Yarrowia lipolytica: one gene and its partner. The protein of the gene in region 1 purifies or fractionates together with the protein of each later gene. This does not show direct contact. Links are inferred from orthologs where the notes say so. Each region holds a gene or a part of one and is shown on either strand. Other genes may lie near its edges.

The links.
Region 2: the proteins of YALI1_D25851g (region 1) and YALI1_C32975g purify together in Saccharomyces cerevisiae (affinity purification with mass spectrometry; 4 studies listed by BioGRID, with this or other methods). This does not show direct contact. The link is inferred for Yarrowia lipolytica from reciprocal best matches to the Saccharomyces cerevisiae genes SLY1 and SEC17.

What each region holds. Positions count from the first base shown.
Region 1 is NC_090773.1:2,580,674-2,588,440, forward strand, and holds YALI1_D25851g (uncharacterized protein), read right to left. Parts: upstream 4,547-7,767; coding exon 4,501-4,546; intron 4,455-4,500; coding exon 2,728-4,454; downstream 1-2,727. Other genes in the region: YALI1_D25813g (uncharacterized protein), read left to right, coding at 591-2,195; YALI1_D25831g (uncharacterized protein), read right to left, coding at 2,263-2,433, 2,500-2,535; YALI1_D25856g (uncharacterized protein), read left to right, coding at 4,894-5,367; YALI1_D25877g (uncharacterized protein), read left to right, coding at 7,058-7,558. UniProt on the Saccharomyces cerevisiae protein: Able to suppress the functional loss of YPT1. SLY1 is essential for cell viability. May interact indirectly, or directly with YPT1.
Region 2 is NC_090772.1:3,294,736-3,300,826, reverse strand, and holds YALI1_C32975g (uncharacterized protein), read right to left. Parts: upstream 3,305-6,091; coding exon 2,426-3,304; downstream 1-2,425. Other genes in the region: YALI1_C33005g (uncharacterized protein), read right to left, coding at 1-279; YALI1_C32972g (uncharacterized protein), read left to right, coding at 3,551-4,414; YALI1_C32921g (uncharacterized protein), read right to left, coding at 4,748-6,091. UniProt on the Saccharomyces cerevisiae protein: SNARE complex protein that binds to cis-SNARE complexes on membranes and is required for vesicular transport between the endoplasmic reticulum and the Golgi apparatus and for homotypic vacuole fusion.

The DNA of each region.
Region 1 (7,767 bases):
AAAATCACCAAGGCAATATAATACGAGCACCGCGGCGATCTTCCACGCTGACCCCCACTCCAAATCATACACTCCAACCCACATATCTACCCACCTAAACCATGCACTTCAGCCTCACTGTTGCTGCAATTGTTATCTCACTTTTTCGCCTTTGTTGTTTACCTTTCGGGCAAATCTGCCGAACTTTTTCAGAGCTCTTTGAGCAGCGCCTTCCCGGTAATAAGTGGATATCATCACGACAGGACCTCGGTAAATCACGTGAATCTATACAAGTGTTACCTAAGACTCCTAGGAGGACCTTCTCTCTACCAAATCGCCTTCTTGCGGGGGGCAACAACTGGTGTCTCCCCCCACACTCTCCCAACAGGGAAATTAAACCCTACGTCCGAAGATGCCAAAAAACAGTGGAATTGCAACTCCGCAGATAGCAGCTTCTGGAGGTTCACCCGCGTCGAAGTGGCCCTTTTTCTTCCGTCGCGCGACCGCCAGCGTGCTTGCATTGTCAGATTCTGGGTGGTCTGCAGCTGAACGAGCGCGATTTCTCCATCCCCATTTTACCGCCGTTTTACCGCCGTTTTACCGCCTTCGCCATGAGTGCCCCCAAGGACCCGGTGCCGGCGGCGCCTCCGGCCCAGCCGCCTCGAAAACGGTCCCGAGACGGCTGCTATACGTGCCGCAAACGCAAGAAGCGCTGCGACGAAACACGGCCTGTTTGTGAGTGCTGCAAACGGCTCGGAATCGTGTGCGTGTACCCAGCTCCTGGAACAGAGTACAAGAACAAGAAACGAAAGGGTCTGCCAGACACGCACGAGCAGTTTGTGGTTGTTCCCGTGGACCATGCGCCACCGCCTGTAGCGGGTTCTACAGATGTGGCCCCTGTCCCCATGCTTGATTTCCATCCCTACAACTTCACCAACTACGTGGATCCCGCAGTCGATCACCCAATTGTGGATATCACCGATCTCACAGAGGATGATATCAACCAGCTGGACGTTAATTCGTTGGTTCGAATTCCCTCTCCGTTTGAAATAGACGCAGACTTCAACTTGGAGTCTCTGGAGCCCTCTCTGTTTGGAGGACTCAGCACCAAAGAGAACCAGATGCTGCAGTATTACGAGGAAAAGCTGTCGCGAATGATATGTGTGGCGTCCGATCAAGACAACCACTTTGTTCAAATTTTTCTTCCCATGGCCCATCATAATGCTGCTGTTCTACACAGCATTGTAGCGTGGTCTTCTTTCCATTCAGGCAAGGCTGATCTTCAGGATACAGGGATGGCCGCGCTCGACAAGGCTGTGACCCTGACCAAGAACCAGATCACAAACAATACTTTTGACCACTCCACAATCGCGGCCTTGCTGCTCTGCTGCTCGGCTGAAGTGTGTAAGGGCGACCTACGCAACTGGAAAAAGTTTCTCAACATGTCGGCGGCCATAATCCGCAACTATGGCGGTCTGTCCAAGTTTCTCAATGACAAAAATCTCCGCTGGATAGCCACAAACTTTGCCTATCATGACCTGGTCGCTAGTAGCTCTCACCATCGAGGACCTCTTTTTGGTCGAGCAGAATACGAACAGCTGCTTCAGGGAGGTCAGGGTATCGACCCACTACTGGGAATCTGCAGAGAGCCGTACCAGATGATTGCCGAGGTGTCTCAATTGGCCAACGAATTGAGTGGCAATGAAGAAATGACTTCTTCGACTCTCACTACCGAAGCTAACATTCTGCAGACTGCCCAGCGTCTCGAGCACCAGATTCGTATTCTCACACCCAATCTGGCTGATACTATGACGCTCAGTGACGAGGAATGTACTTTGCATAAGCACCTGTTTGAAATTTACCAGCTGACCGCCTTGATTCATCTCAAACGAACCATCTTCAAACTGCCTTCTACTTCTCTGGAGATGCGTGTTTGGGGCCGCAAGTTGTCGTGTCTTTTGGACCTTGTGTTGGGCTCGGCTGTTGAGGGCAATCTTTGCTTCCCCCTGTTCATCGCTGGTCTTAACATCCTGCCCTCTCAGAGACACGCGTACCTGTCCAAGTTCAAGGAGTTTGCCACACGAAACAAGGCGAGAAACTTGCTGAATAGCATTTCAACGGTGGAAGAGTGCTGGAAGAGAGATGCAGGGGGAGAAAAGTATGTGGATTACTATGTGGTGTTGAAAGAGAAGGATTTGGATATCTGTTTGGCCTAGCACTGGAGCTAGGGGCAGAGCTTGCCATTTGCCCAACCCCAGACCACAAGCACAAGTTGATCTTTGCTTAAGCCATCGCTGCTCCACATCCGTGACTACCATCTAGGGGTGGCGCTAAAAGACTACATCTAAGCACGACATCGAGAACGGTGGTTTGGACCGAATTAATGATGTTACGGAGAACAATGGTTGATATTGCTGTTACGGAGAACAATGGTTGATATTGCCCCCACCGTTGCTGTTGTTATGGCTATGGCAAGACATTATAATGTATTTTTTATGATGTAGCCGAACTGTAGGTAACTATGTGTACAAAAATGTACAAGTAGTGCGTGATCATGGGAGCTCTACTTACATACAACAGTCCTTGCTCGGTCGGTGAACCAGATCCGCCTCTTGAGTAAAGGGGGATACGGTCAAGTATCCACCCTTGCAAGATCCAATAGTATATCCTTTCTATTACATTATTACGTGCAAAGGAGTGGCATAAAGTACAACCCCTAGCCAATCTCTCTGGCTCCTACTTGCGCTCCTACTTGGTGAGTGAGGCCAGCTCTCCCAAAAACACATCGGGTTTGACCACATCTGTTCCTCCGTAAACCACCTTTTTTCCTGCCTTAACACCGTAGTCCATCAGATTGGCGTACTCAGCGTAGTTGGCACCTCCAACCACAAACACAATGGCCTCGTTGTACGCCTGTTTTCGGGGCGGCTTTGTGCTGGAGCCACGCACCGACGGGTCGAAATATAAATAGTCGTCGGTAATGTCGCCAGACTCGGAAGGAGACACAATGCCGGACACAATTCGGGTCACGGGCATATCCTTGTTTTGTGGCAGATACGACTTGACGTTGGAAATGAGGTTGCCAATCTTGCCGGACGACAGCTTGGAGGCAAAGTTTCGGAACGATTGCTCCGACGTCTGGGGCTCCTGTGCAGAAGCAGCTGACGACTTCAGCGCCATCATTTTGGACAGGTCCTTGAGCCGCTTGACGTAGTTGAGCGCAGCCATGTCCACTCCCTGTGTGCTAAGAATACCCTCGTACTCCTTCTGTTCGGCAGCCGAGAGAGTGCCGGATAGGTAGACACAAATATAGGCTCTCAGCTTGTCCGTGCCAGACAGCTCTTCGTTCTTGAGCAGAGGCAAGAGAGCCTGCTTGTCCAGCCCGTCCTCGGCCTCAAACAAAATATCCAGCTGTCTCTTCTTGATTCGGTCCACCAGAGCAGTGGCAATGTTCATATGCATATCGATGACGGCTTTTCGAGCCGTGAGTTTGGGGATGGCCGAGATAGCCTTCTTGAGATGCGTGGGGGATGCATCTGTGTCCATATCGTTGATGTTGGCGCCTCCAGTGATCTGGCTGTACTCCTCCTTGTACTTATTGACTTCATTGTCCATAGACTCCGCCACCTCGGGGAAAGAAAGAAGCGAGTTTTGGTTCCAGAAAAAGTCGGAGGGCGCCACATCGTACGACTCGGTGGTGCCATTGTCTTTGGCGATTCGGATCTGGCCTCTTTCGGACTCAAACACGTCGTGAACCAGTCCCATGTAGTTGGACGAGTGCTGGAGCATGGACGCGAGATCAATGTTTCGGTCAAGAATCATGAGCACCGGTCGCGAGAGAGGGTTGGTGGTCAGTTTGAGGTTGTTGACGTGGTCTCTGAGCTTGGAGTCGAGTTTCTGGGCGACCATCTCGGCGGCGTTTCCTCTGGGACATCGAATGATGGGAATTTCACCCTGGGTGACAACCACAGAGAACAGACCAGACACAATCTGGTCGACGATGGCATTGAGCGAGTCCTCGTCCATCTTGGGGGATGCCAGCTCAGAGTAGATGTTAGGCAAGGCCAGAGAGAAGAGGTTGGCCTCGGAAACAACGTAGTTGAGGTAGTGGTCGTAGACCTGAGTAATCTGAGAGGCTGTGGCCACGTTGTCGGCTGCAAAGGTCTCCAGCAGCTGACGGGGAAGAGGAGACACGAAGTTGACGGACGCGGATTCGTAGAGCTGGGAATGCAGGTCTCGCGTGATCTTTTGAAGGTTGTCGGATGTAGGTCGCACAAAGTACACCACCGGAACGTCAATAGCGTACCGATCGGAATCCAGCAACATGTGGATGGTGACTCCGTTCTGGAACAGGTCGTTGACTCGCATCACCGACGAAATCACATCTCGGCCAAACTTGTCGAAGACCAGCACCTTCCAAGCCTGGCTTTTGTTGGCACTCCCATTTTCTCCAGAGAGAACACGCGTGATCGCGGCTGTGTTAGTCAGCGAATCATTGTCGGTTAGTCACGTGATACTCACCAATCTGCTTGTCTCGAAACGACTCGGGCAAAGTGCTGTTGTTCATTGGGCTAGACTTCCGAAACTCCTCTGAAGGAGAGATGCGTATGTCGTGGTCTTTGGAGATAAGGTTAGGTGGAGCGTGTCAGTCATGTGACCAGAATGGGGAAAAAGCACCGTGTTGGGGAAGAGTGAGAGTGGTCAGGGAATTGATCGGGCAAGAAATGCGCTGCTCCAAACGGCTGTTTCGAGACAGGTCGTATCGGACAAGTACTGCAGCTTGTATTATGTAATTTCACTGGTGTCCTCTTCTGGACGCCCTTACCCTGTCCCAAATAGGAGGCCAAGGTGATTTACCTATTTGGACTAGTGCAGTATGAAACTTGCTGAACAGGTGAAAGATGCAAGTCAGTCATGTTCGTATGTGGAGGACGGAGGGCTGCCGACAGGTTTTCTGCGACCATACATCTCGCCGGTGCAAGTACAAGTGCGAGTACGTTTACTTGTACTCTTAAAGATATAAAGAGGCTTGTACATACGTATGCCTGTGCTTGTACTCTGCAAGTATACAACCCCTGTTTTGGATACATAATCTGGAGCAAGTCATGGAGACTGTACTGTACAAGACGAGTGTCATTTGATGCGAACAACACAAGACGAGCTGCAAGAGGCCCTGATACAAGTACAATTACTTCCACCTGTACATTAAAACACGCTCGACCACCTTACAATCGCCTGTACTCGTGCATCATACCAACAACGTCAAGTCGGAACCTTCAAACGCGTCCTACAAACCAGCGATGGACGATCAGACAGGTTCACGTGATGTCGATGGCATCCAAGGAGCTTCCACTCTCATCATGTGTCGTTCGACACCATCTCTGGTGAACCTACGAGTACCGTCACATTCACAAATGCCCTTGTCCAGGTCTGGCAACACGAGTTGTAGACACCACACCGCACCCAATGAACCACAAGCACACAGCCATCCCTTTCCGGGGTCTAGCCAGTACAGTTAACCAGTGAGACTGATACTCCTTCCAGTCCCACTAAGACTGACCCTTGACAGGGGTCTACCAGCTCTAAAGGGATCAAGCCGGGGCAACAGTGTCCGCAACAGTGTCCGCAACAACACTGCAGCCACATCAGCCTCTGAGGGGATCATCTGAAGAAGGGCCATCTGAACCACCGAAGGAGCCTATATGCTTGAAGATGGACTCGGGGTCGTGAGCTGGCACTGCAAGTAGCGACGTGATATCCACGATACGTTCGAAAAGCAGCGCGATCCACGATATGGATGCATGTACAGGTACCCGTATTCCACGGACCCGTTCTATCTCTCCAACACAACTGTCACCATGAGCCGCATCAAAAGCCGTCATGGATCACTAGCGGTAAATGAACGTCTCTCCTTCCACCCTTTCCTCAACTCCCCGCCAAGCTCCCCCGGATCTTTAAACCCTTGCTATTAAAACGGCGTAAAGGTAATCAAGGGTGGCGGTGGAGTGCGAATGCGAACACTCGTTTCTCTGGTGCTATGGTTCTCCCGGCGCGTGACCCATTGCCTACCAAGGCTTGCAGAAAGGCGCTAGTTTAGCCGGAAAAAAGGACTATGTCTAAACGAAATCTAAGCGTACGTGGACAATGGGCCCAGAAGCAGGCCGCTCCACATGTTTACGTCATGGCCACTAGCGTACAAGTAGCGATAAACGCGGATATGGGGTGCATGGGGTATGCTCAAACGTGCAAGTAGCACCAGGGAGTAGGGCTAGGTCCGAAGCCACCGCCGCCGCCCTACTGCCCGCTTAATTGCTTTATTTACTCTTAGCGTAGACTTTGGATCATCCCAGAAACGTAAACGGGAGACATTTTGCTATTTTTACCCGCTCAGACAGGTCCCAGACATGGCTTGGAGGGGCCAAGTCTTGTACCACTAGCATTGCTCAGGGCGAATGTGGACGACAAGGGGTGTAGGATGACGTGTATTGTGCGTGTTTGAGACTGGTCTTGGATCGAGGTGGCCGAAACCAGGGCGCCGCCTCAGCCAACGGTGTTTGGGAATGAGATATCAAACGCAGATCATGATATGAGTCCAGGGGTGGAGAAATTAGAGTGTCAGAGAATGTAGCTACTCAACAGCGTCTGGTTGCTGGCAATGAGGAAGCTGCAGGGACATGCACGGAAACGGGAGAAGAATACGGTCCCGTTGTAACACACCACTGGAGATGACTACAACTACGGACTGACTACTCCTACAAGTACCATACTCCAACCCCTATTGCACAAAGCGCTGTGGACATCTGTCAATATGCAACTTTATGCATGTCTCACAGGTACCTAGGTGCATACCCAACTCTAAAACGCGGGCTATATGCATGTAGGCATATTCCACATGAGCAACGCATTTTGCAGATTGCATGGGTGTATCCGGTTTAGGTTGGGGGTGCGTGTTTTGATCACGTGATGCATCTCTTCCAGCGCCCGCCCGCGGCGTGTCGCTTTAGCTACTTGTAGCTACCGTAGTGCGCGTCGGTTCGATCTTGATCGGGCTCCGTTTCAGGGGCATGCAGCTAAAAAAATGATATTTCAGAAATACGCTGTCAGACGTTTGGCAGGTGGTGCCAGGGCTGATTGGAGGGGGTGGGCCGTGGCAGGCCGAGTACCTGTAGCAATGGCTCCGGGAGTCTTATATGGTGCTATTATTAACACTGGGTTCGATAATAGGCTCGTTAATGGGTCTTGTTTGGCTTTGGATTTCATTCCGCGCGTATCGTTGAGGTGTGTTTTTATATATATTTTTATATTTTTTACTTTTTACGGTTTTATCTCCGAGGCGACAATCCCAAGACAGACATCAGTAGGGTGTTTTGGAGGATGTGGTTCAGAGACAGCACAAGGTGTGTTGAGGCGAAAAAAGGAAAGATTGGGGGAGAAAGAGGCAAGAGAGGTTTGGGGAGCAGAGCAGTCGGCCAAAATGAGGGTTTTCCCGTTTCGACGTGTCTTTCTGTGGGTTAATAAATGGCGCACTGGGGCGACCAACGATCCTATATTGTATAGTATGGCGATAATGAGGGAATAAGTGGCGGGTCAATAACGGGACAACAACGGGACGACAGGGTCCCCGGCTGGCTTGGTACGTCATTATAGCCGTGGCGAGGGCCCGTCGATTCGATGGACATGGCTTTTGGAGCTTTTACTTTGGCCCAACAGCTTTTGTTTTCCTCCTGTTATCAGGCCCTCTTCCACCTGACCAGTGGAGGCAAAGCTTGCTGTGCTAAGCTCGAATTA
Region 2 (6,091 bases), on another chromosome or scaffold:
AATGGACTGCTTGCCCTCCTCTCGAAGAGCCTTGATGGCCTGAGATCCGGAGTAATCGAACTCTCCGGCCTGACCAATAGACAGACCTCCAGAACCAATGACCAGAACCTTGGAGACATCGACAAGCTCCTTGTCAGCCACCTGGGACAGGATTCCAGCTCCGGCATACTCGGGGGTGGTTGTGTATTTTCGCACGGGGAACTGTGTCAATTTGGTTCGCACGGCAATGCCAGCTCGCAATTGCGGCTTGGCCAGTCGCAACAGCGATCGCGCTATCATTGTCGGGATGGTAGTTGGTGATGTGTGAAGGTGCGAGGTGCAAGTTAAAGTACCTTTATTTTTTTTTCAACTCTCCAAATCAAAATCTTTTACTTGTACCCCGAGCTTAAAATTCGTGCAGACGGAATAATCGGGACACTTGGGCCTGGGGAAGGAAAAAGCGAGCAGCAGTTTCCAATGGGAAAAAATGTGCATACACCCATCTACAAGGGGGAAGAGATTATTTTTACCCGGCCAGTCGATTCTACACCTCGAAATCCACCAGTCGGACCCGTCAGCCTCGTTGATTATAGACTCCAGCTAGAACGGTATTTGACTCTCCCACACCCATTCGCTGCTATCAGAGATAAGGATAGACCTATGACTCAGAGTATGTTTTTGGAGGAGCGTCAGTCTTGTCGGCTGGTGAGCGAGGCCCATGCACTGTGACTAAAATATGTTTGCGGTGGTCCAAGTACGATAGTGGGAAAGAAGGGCCGGAATCCGGAAATTTTATACACGAGTACAGTACTGTACTCGCGTCATTTTCATGATGCGTGGAGACAATGATTCCTACGTGATCTAAGCTCTGTTGAAGTGCTTCTCTTCCAGTAATCAAGGATTCTCGGCAACACATTGAACTTTAAGAGGCGATCAGATACGAGAAGTGGGGCATAAGAGAGAGTGGGAATGCTTCAACAGGGTCATGGAATGTGTTATTGACAGATCCTCACTTGCACTCCCCCCCAGAAGAAGCAGTTGTTACTCTCCTATATGCTGGACTCTCCCGATACAGCTCAACTGCGTACTACCCCGGTTCGATGCACCCCCGCCACGTATGTGTATGTAGGCTGTCGGAGCGGCGGGTTGTTCCCAGGAGCTAGCAATCTACTTGTCGTAAGAAGAAGGAGCGGGCAGTTTTAGACCCATCTGGAGCATCTGGCAAGTACAATCCCCAGCTACACGTTAGGCATGAGTAGAAGTAGCTTGCACCATGCATATGGAAATTTTGCAGAGCTAAAATGAGCCACCAGGTGAAAGTGTCCAAATAGTCACAGGTGCGGCTTATGTGAGATGACTATTTGCGCAGGGAGTGTTTCATGTTGGTCAATGCACATTAGATTGCTCTTCTTTGCTGGCGTTTTTTTTGTTTTTGTTTTTTGGGGAGACCTGATTTGGGTCCAATCTCGTTCTTTTCCACCACCTGCCCATTTGCTTGTTTTGGTCCCTGAACGTTGGACTCATCCGATACGAAACAGAGTTTGAATGAGGTCTGGTGCTTATTAACGTTAGTTATTAGTAGGTTAGGGATTTAGTTAGATTTAGTTAAATTGGTGTGACACTCTCAAGTCACACCTTCCAAGAGCTGTTGCAAGATATGCTGCTGTTATTGATGGTCTTTGGTAGGGTTTACTTGTGGTCGTCCGGTTATGATGGTTTAGACATTCTTGTCCCTTATTTCATGTCATCCCCTTCTGTCTACTGTACAAGAATGTACAAGCCTCCAACATACATATCCAATTTAGGAATCGTAATACGGAGCTTCACGAAGTCGCACTTTTGACCAGTTAACTACAAGTACAGTACAGTACTTGTACTTGTACAAGTGTAAATGTACGCCTAGATGTGGGTCGGAACCCTTTTTTCCCTCCAGCCACACGACCAAAGACCCACTTGAGCACATTGAGAGTCGCCAATGACCCCTCATGCCGAGGCAGCCAGAATCTTAATGAGTGTAGGGTTCGGTTCATGGGATATGAAGTTGGTTCAAGCCAGAATCACAAGACTACTGTACAAGTTGGATATATATTACAAGTACTTGTAAGGAAGGTTATGGGTACTTTCAATATATCAGATTGATCATAATCATGTCCTAGTTACCATGAGAGTACCTTGAGCGTTTCAATTGGTAATATAAAATGTTTGAGACGCGTCAATGGACTCTGAGATGCGCCAATGGACTCTTAGAGATGAAAGGGTCAAAGAAAGCCCTAGCCACGCATGGCATATTACCAGCTGACAAGACATATAATGGCGATGATCTGGAATAAGCGACTGAAACGTGTGGTTCAATCCGCTTCTGCGTGTCCTTGCGTAGTACCTGTATTCTCTCACTCTGTCACACGACCATCAGTATAAACAATAATATTACTTTAAATTTGGACCTCTACAACAGTCCCTCATCGTCCTCCTGCTCGGTAATGGCGTTCTTGATCTTGAGCAGCAGGTTGGTCTTCCATTTGTCGAGCTTGCTGAATTGGTCAAAGTCGTACACCTTATCAGCAAACAGCTGGGGGTTCTGGTTGCTGACAGCCTCACAAATATCCACCAGCAGACCATACTCTCGGGACTGGCCAAAGGCAGGATCCCACTCCAGGTAAGCGTTGATGGGGCCCCCACAAGCAACAGGATCCGCAGCAATTCGACACAGGCCAGCCTTGAACAAATACTCCTTGAGCGACCACTTCATGATGTTGGAATTGAGGTTTCGTCGGGCAACCATCTCGAACATTTCAATGGCCTTGAACAGATCGTCGTTCTCGGCAGACAGTTCCGCCACCTTGAGGTATGCCTTGGAAGATAGAGTCTCTGCTCGGTCCTCGGAAAACCAGTCTCCGGCATCTGTGTAGGCCTCCATGGCCTTGGGAATGTCCTCCAGCTCCTTCTCGTACAGCTCTCCCAGCTCCATCTTGTAATTGGCACCTCGTCGGAACTGACCACGTGTAGTGAAGAACTGAATGGCCTTCTCCAGACACTTGGCGGCCTCCTGGGGTGAGTTGGACCGGTATGATTTGTAAGCCTCGAGCAGCGAGTTGGCGGCCTCGTCCTTGCTCTCGGACTGTAGTTGTGCGTCAGCAGCCTTCTCAAAGCACTCTCCAGCAAGCTTTCCGTTACGCTGTAACTTGTACTGGTTTGCGGCCTCGGTGTAGAGGTCTGCTGCTTCTTCGAATCGGGTCGAGGAGCCGCCGCTCATGAATGAGAACATGCCTCCGGAGGAGGTCATCTTTTTATCGGCTCTAGCAATGAGAGCGGTGACGTCTGACATTGCGTGGTATGGGGGTGATCGATCTAGGTGTGGAGGTTTGTATGTACGTCATACAGACGCTAACTGCACGGGGGCAGGGTTTGGGTTGGAGATGAAAGAAGCTACTGTACAGCATTTGGCGTTGGGGGTTCGAGTCGTGGGGTTGCACATTAAGTCGCTCAATGCAACGCGTCAGATTGTGCAAGGCTGGTAAATAAAACGCGGCAGATATAAAACACGTCAAAACAACAAGACACGGAGAAGGATATGGACATGGAAAAAGACGGGACACAACACACGAAAAAGACACAATCTGTTCAGGAGACTGAGACGCAGAAATCCGAGACACTGTCTACATCAACACCTGACCCAGAAACCATGGAGATAAGTGTAGCTGAAGTGGAAGCGACATCCATGAAGACACACACAGGGGAGGGACAGAGGCAGACACAAGCCAGTGAATCACAAGCGACGAGCGAAGGACGAATAACAACAGTGAACGAAACACAAACAACAAAAGCGACCGAGGGACAAACAACCACAACAGCCAATACACGTGCAATCCCCCAATCAGCACGTTACAGACGTTTAGTCACATCCTCGTCCACAGCACTGGCCCATGCAGTCAAGTCGCTCACTTACAAACGAGTGGCGGCGTGTTATCCAAGCATTGCAAAGACTCCTGCTGGTCAGGAGGCACTCAGAGAAGCCCTTAAGCAGATCTGCAAGGCGTGGACGGACTCAGTACAAACGGAATTCGACGCGATCTTCGATGAACGACATCTCCCGGAGAAACTGGCCCAGTTGGATCAATTGGTCAAAGACGCCAGACTCAGAATGAATTCAAACACAGATCTGCCTATCCATGTCGATAGACTGACGCCAGATCAAATCATCAAGAGCCATCTACGGGAAACTAAACTCGCACGAATCAAAAAGCTCAAACAGCTGGCACAGACAGTCAAGAAGGAGAATGATGAATACCGACAAAAGATCAAGGAAAACAACGACCAAGTCCATACATCGCTCGACAAGTTGCACAAGGTGACATCGGATATTTCAAAGGCCACAGCTGCTACTCAGGAGATGCCTGAGCGGGCAGAACTGTACGAAAGTTGGAAGGCATTATAGGAGGGGTGAACTGTACTAATAGATTATTTATTTGTTCCACGTTTAGCAACAACAGATGACGTACAGCTTCAAAACGTAACATAGAAGCGGCAGATACGGCATTATTGGACTATCTGACCATAAAGGTCACAGTCTCACAGAATGTGGTCCATGCCGTGCAACCAGAAGCTACAGGTAGCTACTTAAAGTATTGTATGAGTACATACCGTAGTTGTAGTCTACAGTAAATTCCACCATCATCACTACTCGCTACGGTGAAAGTACTGCATTTTTTATAATCACATAATACATTTAAACATTAATGAATTACTTACATATCATCATAAAAAGAGATCAGCTCTGGTCCAAAAGGTAATTAGTGGCCTCGGCAACGTTGTATTTGTGCTTCTGCAGCGCCCGCTTGGCCTTCTCCTCAGAGAAACCCATTCCGGTCAGCTCCTGAACAGCTCGAGATCGAGGAGAAGATGCTCTAACGGGAGCAGCAGAGGGAGCACTGACTGGAGCAGGGCCGGAAGACATACCGGCGAAGATCTGCTCCCACTCGTCGTTTCCAGGAGGATTAGCGGGCGCAGGAGCCTGGTTCATGTCGTCAAACGCATTGTTAAAGTCGGTGCTGTACTGCGACTGGTCCATCGAGTTGTTGGCCTCCACGTTGGTGTCCTCAAGATCGGCAAACGCGTCGTCAAAGTCGTCGTTAGCAGATGCAGCAGGCGCATGCTGGTTACCGAAGAAGCCGTTAGTGGAGCCACCATGATGAGGAGAGCCGGGGCCTTCGCTCTCGTCATATGTGGGTGGGTTGGGGGGCAGCTCCTTGTCATTGTTGGACGCAGCAGCAGCAGCAGCCTTCTCCTCGGCAGCAGAGGGGTATGCTTGTGTGGGAGCAGCAAAGCCCTGAGAAGAGGCTGGGGCGGCAGCTGGCTCAGGGAAATGACCAGGGGCAGTATCGTGAACAGCAGTCTGGTCGGGGAAGTGACCAGGAGCAGTGTCAACAGCAGGGGCAAAAGTAGGCTGAGTAATCTCGTGCTGGGGAGTAACCACGTCCGACGTAGTATCGTCATGGTGCACCTCCTTGGGCTGGTAGTTTTTGTACCGGTTGACCCCAATCTCCTCCAGCTCGTCATCGTCAGAAGAGTCGTCGTCAACCACAGCCTTGCCCTTGTCTCGACGGGGCATCTCGTTGATAGAGTGCTCGTTCTCGTCAGCAGACACAAACTCGAATGACTCGTTGCCAGAGTCCTCCTCCAGCTGCGTAGGGTTAGGGCCAAAAGGCTGGGCAAACGGCTGGTCGGGGAAGGGCTCGGCGGCCTTCTCAAACTCGGGCTGGTCCGAAACGGCCTTGTCGGTGAACTGCTCGAGCGCAGCGTTGGTCTCGGGGTGAGGCTGCTCGCTAGTGAACTGGGCAGGGGGGTTGAAAGGAGCAGGCTGAGAAGCGGGGTTGGAACCAAAAGGCTGGACAAAGGGCTGTTCAGGGAAAGGCTCAGTGCTCTTGAACTGAGCGGTCAATCCATCAACGTCCGGCTTCTGAGGCTCAGAAACAGTCTCCTTGGAGGCGATGCTGGGGTGCGAAGCATGAGCTTCGATAGTATCACCGGTCAGACCAGAGTTAGCTGTCTTAACCACCTCATCGTGCTCTCGAGAACCTTCAAAGGGAATGGGGGCAGTGGAGTCGCTCAGACG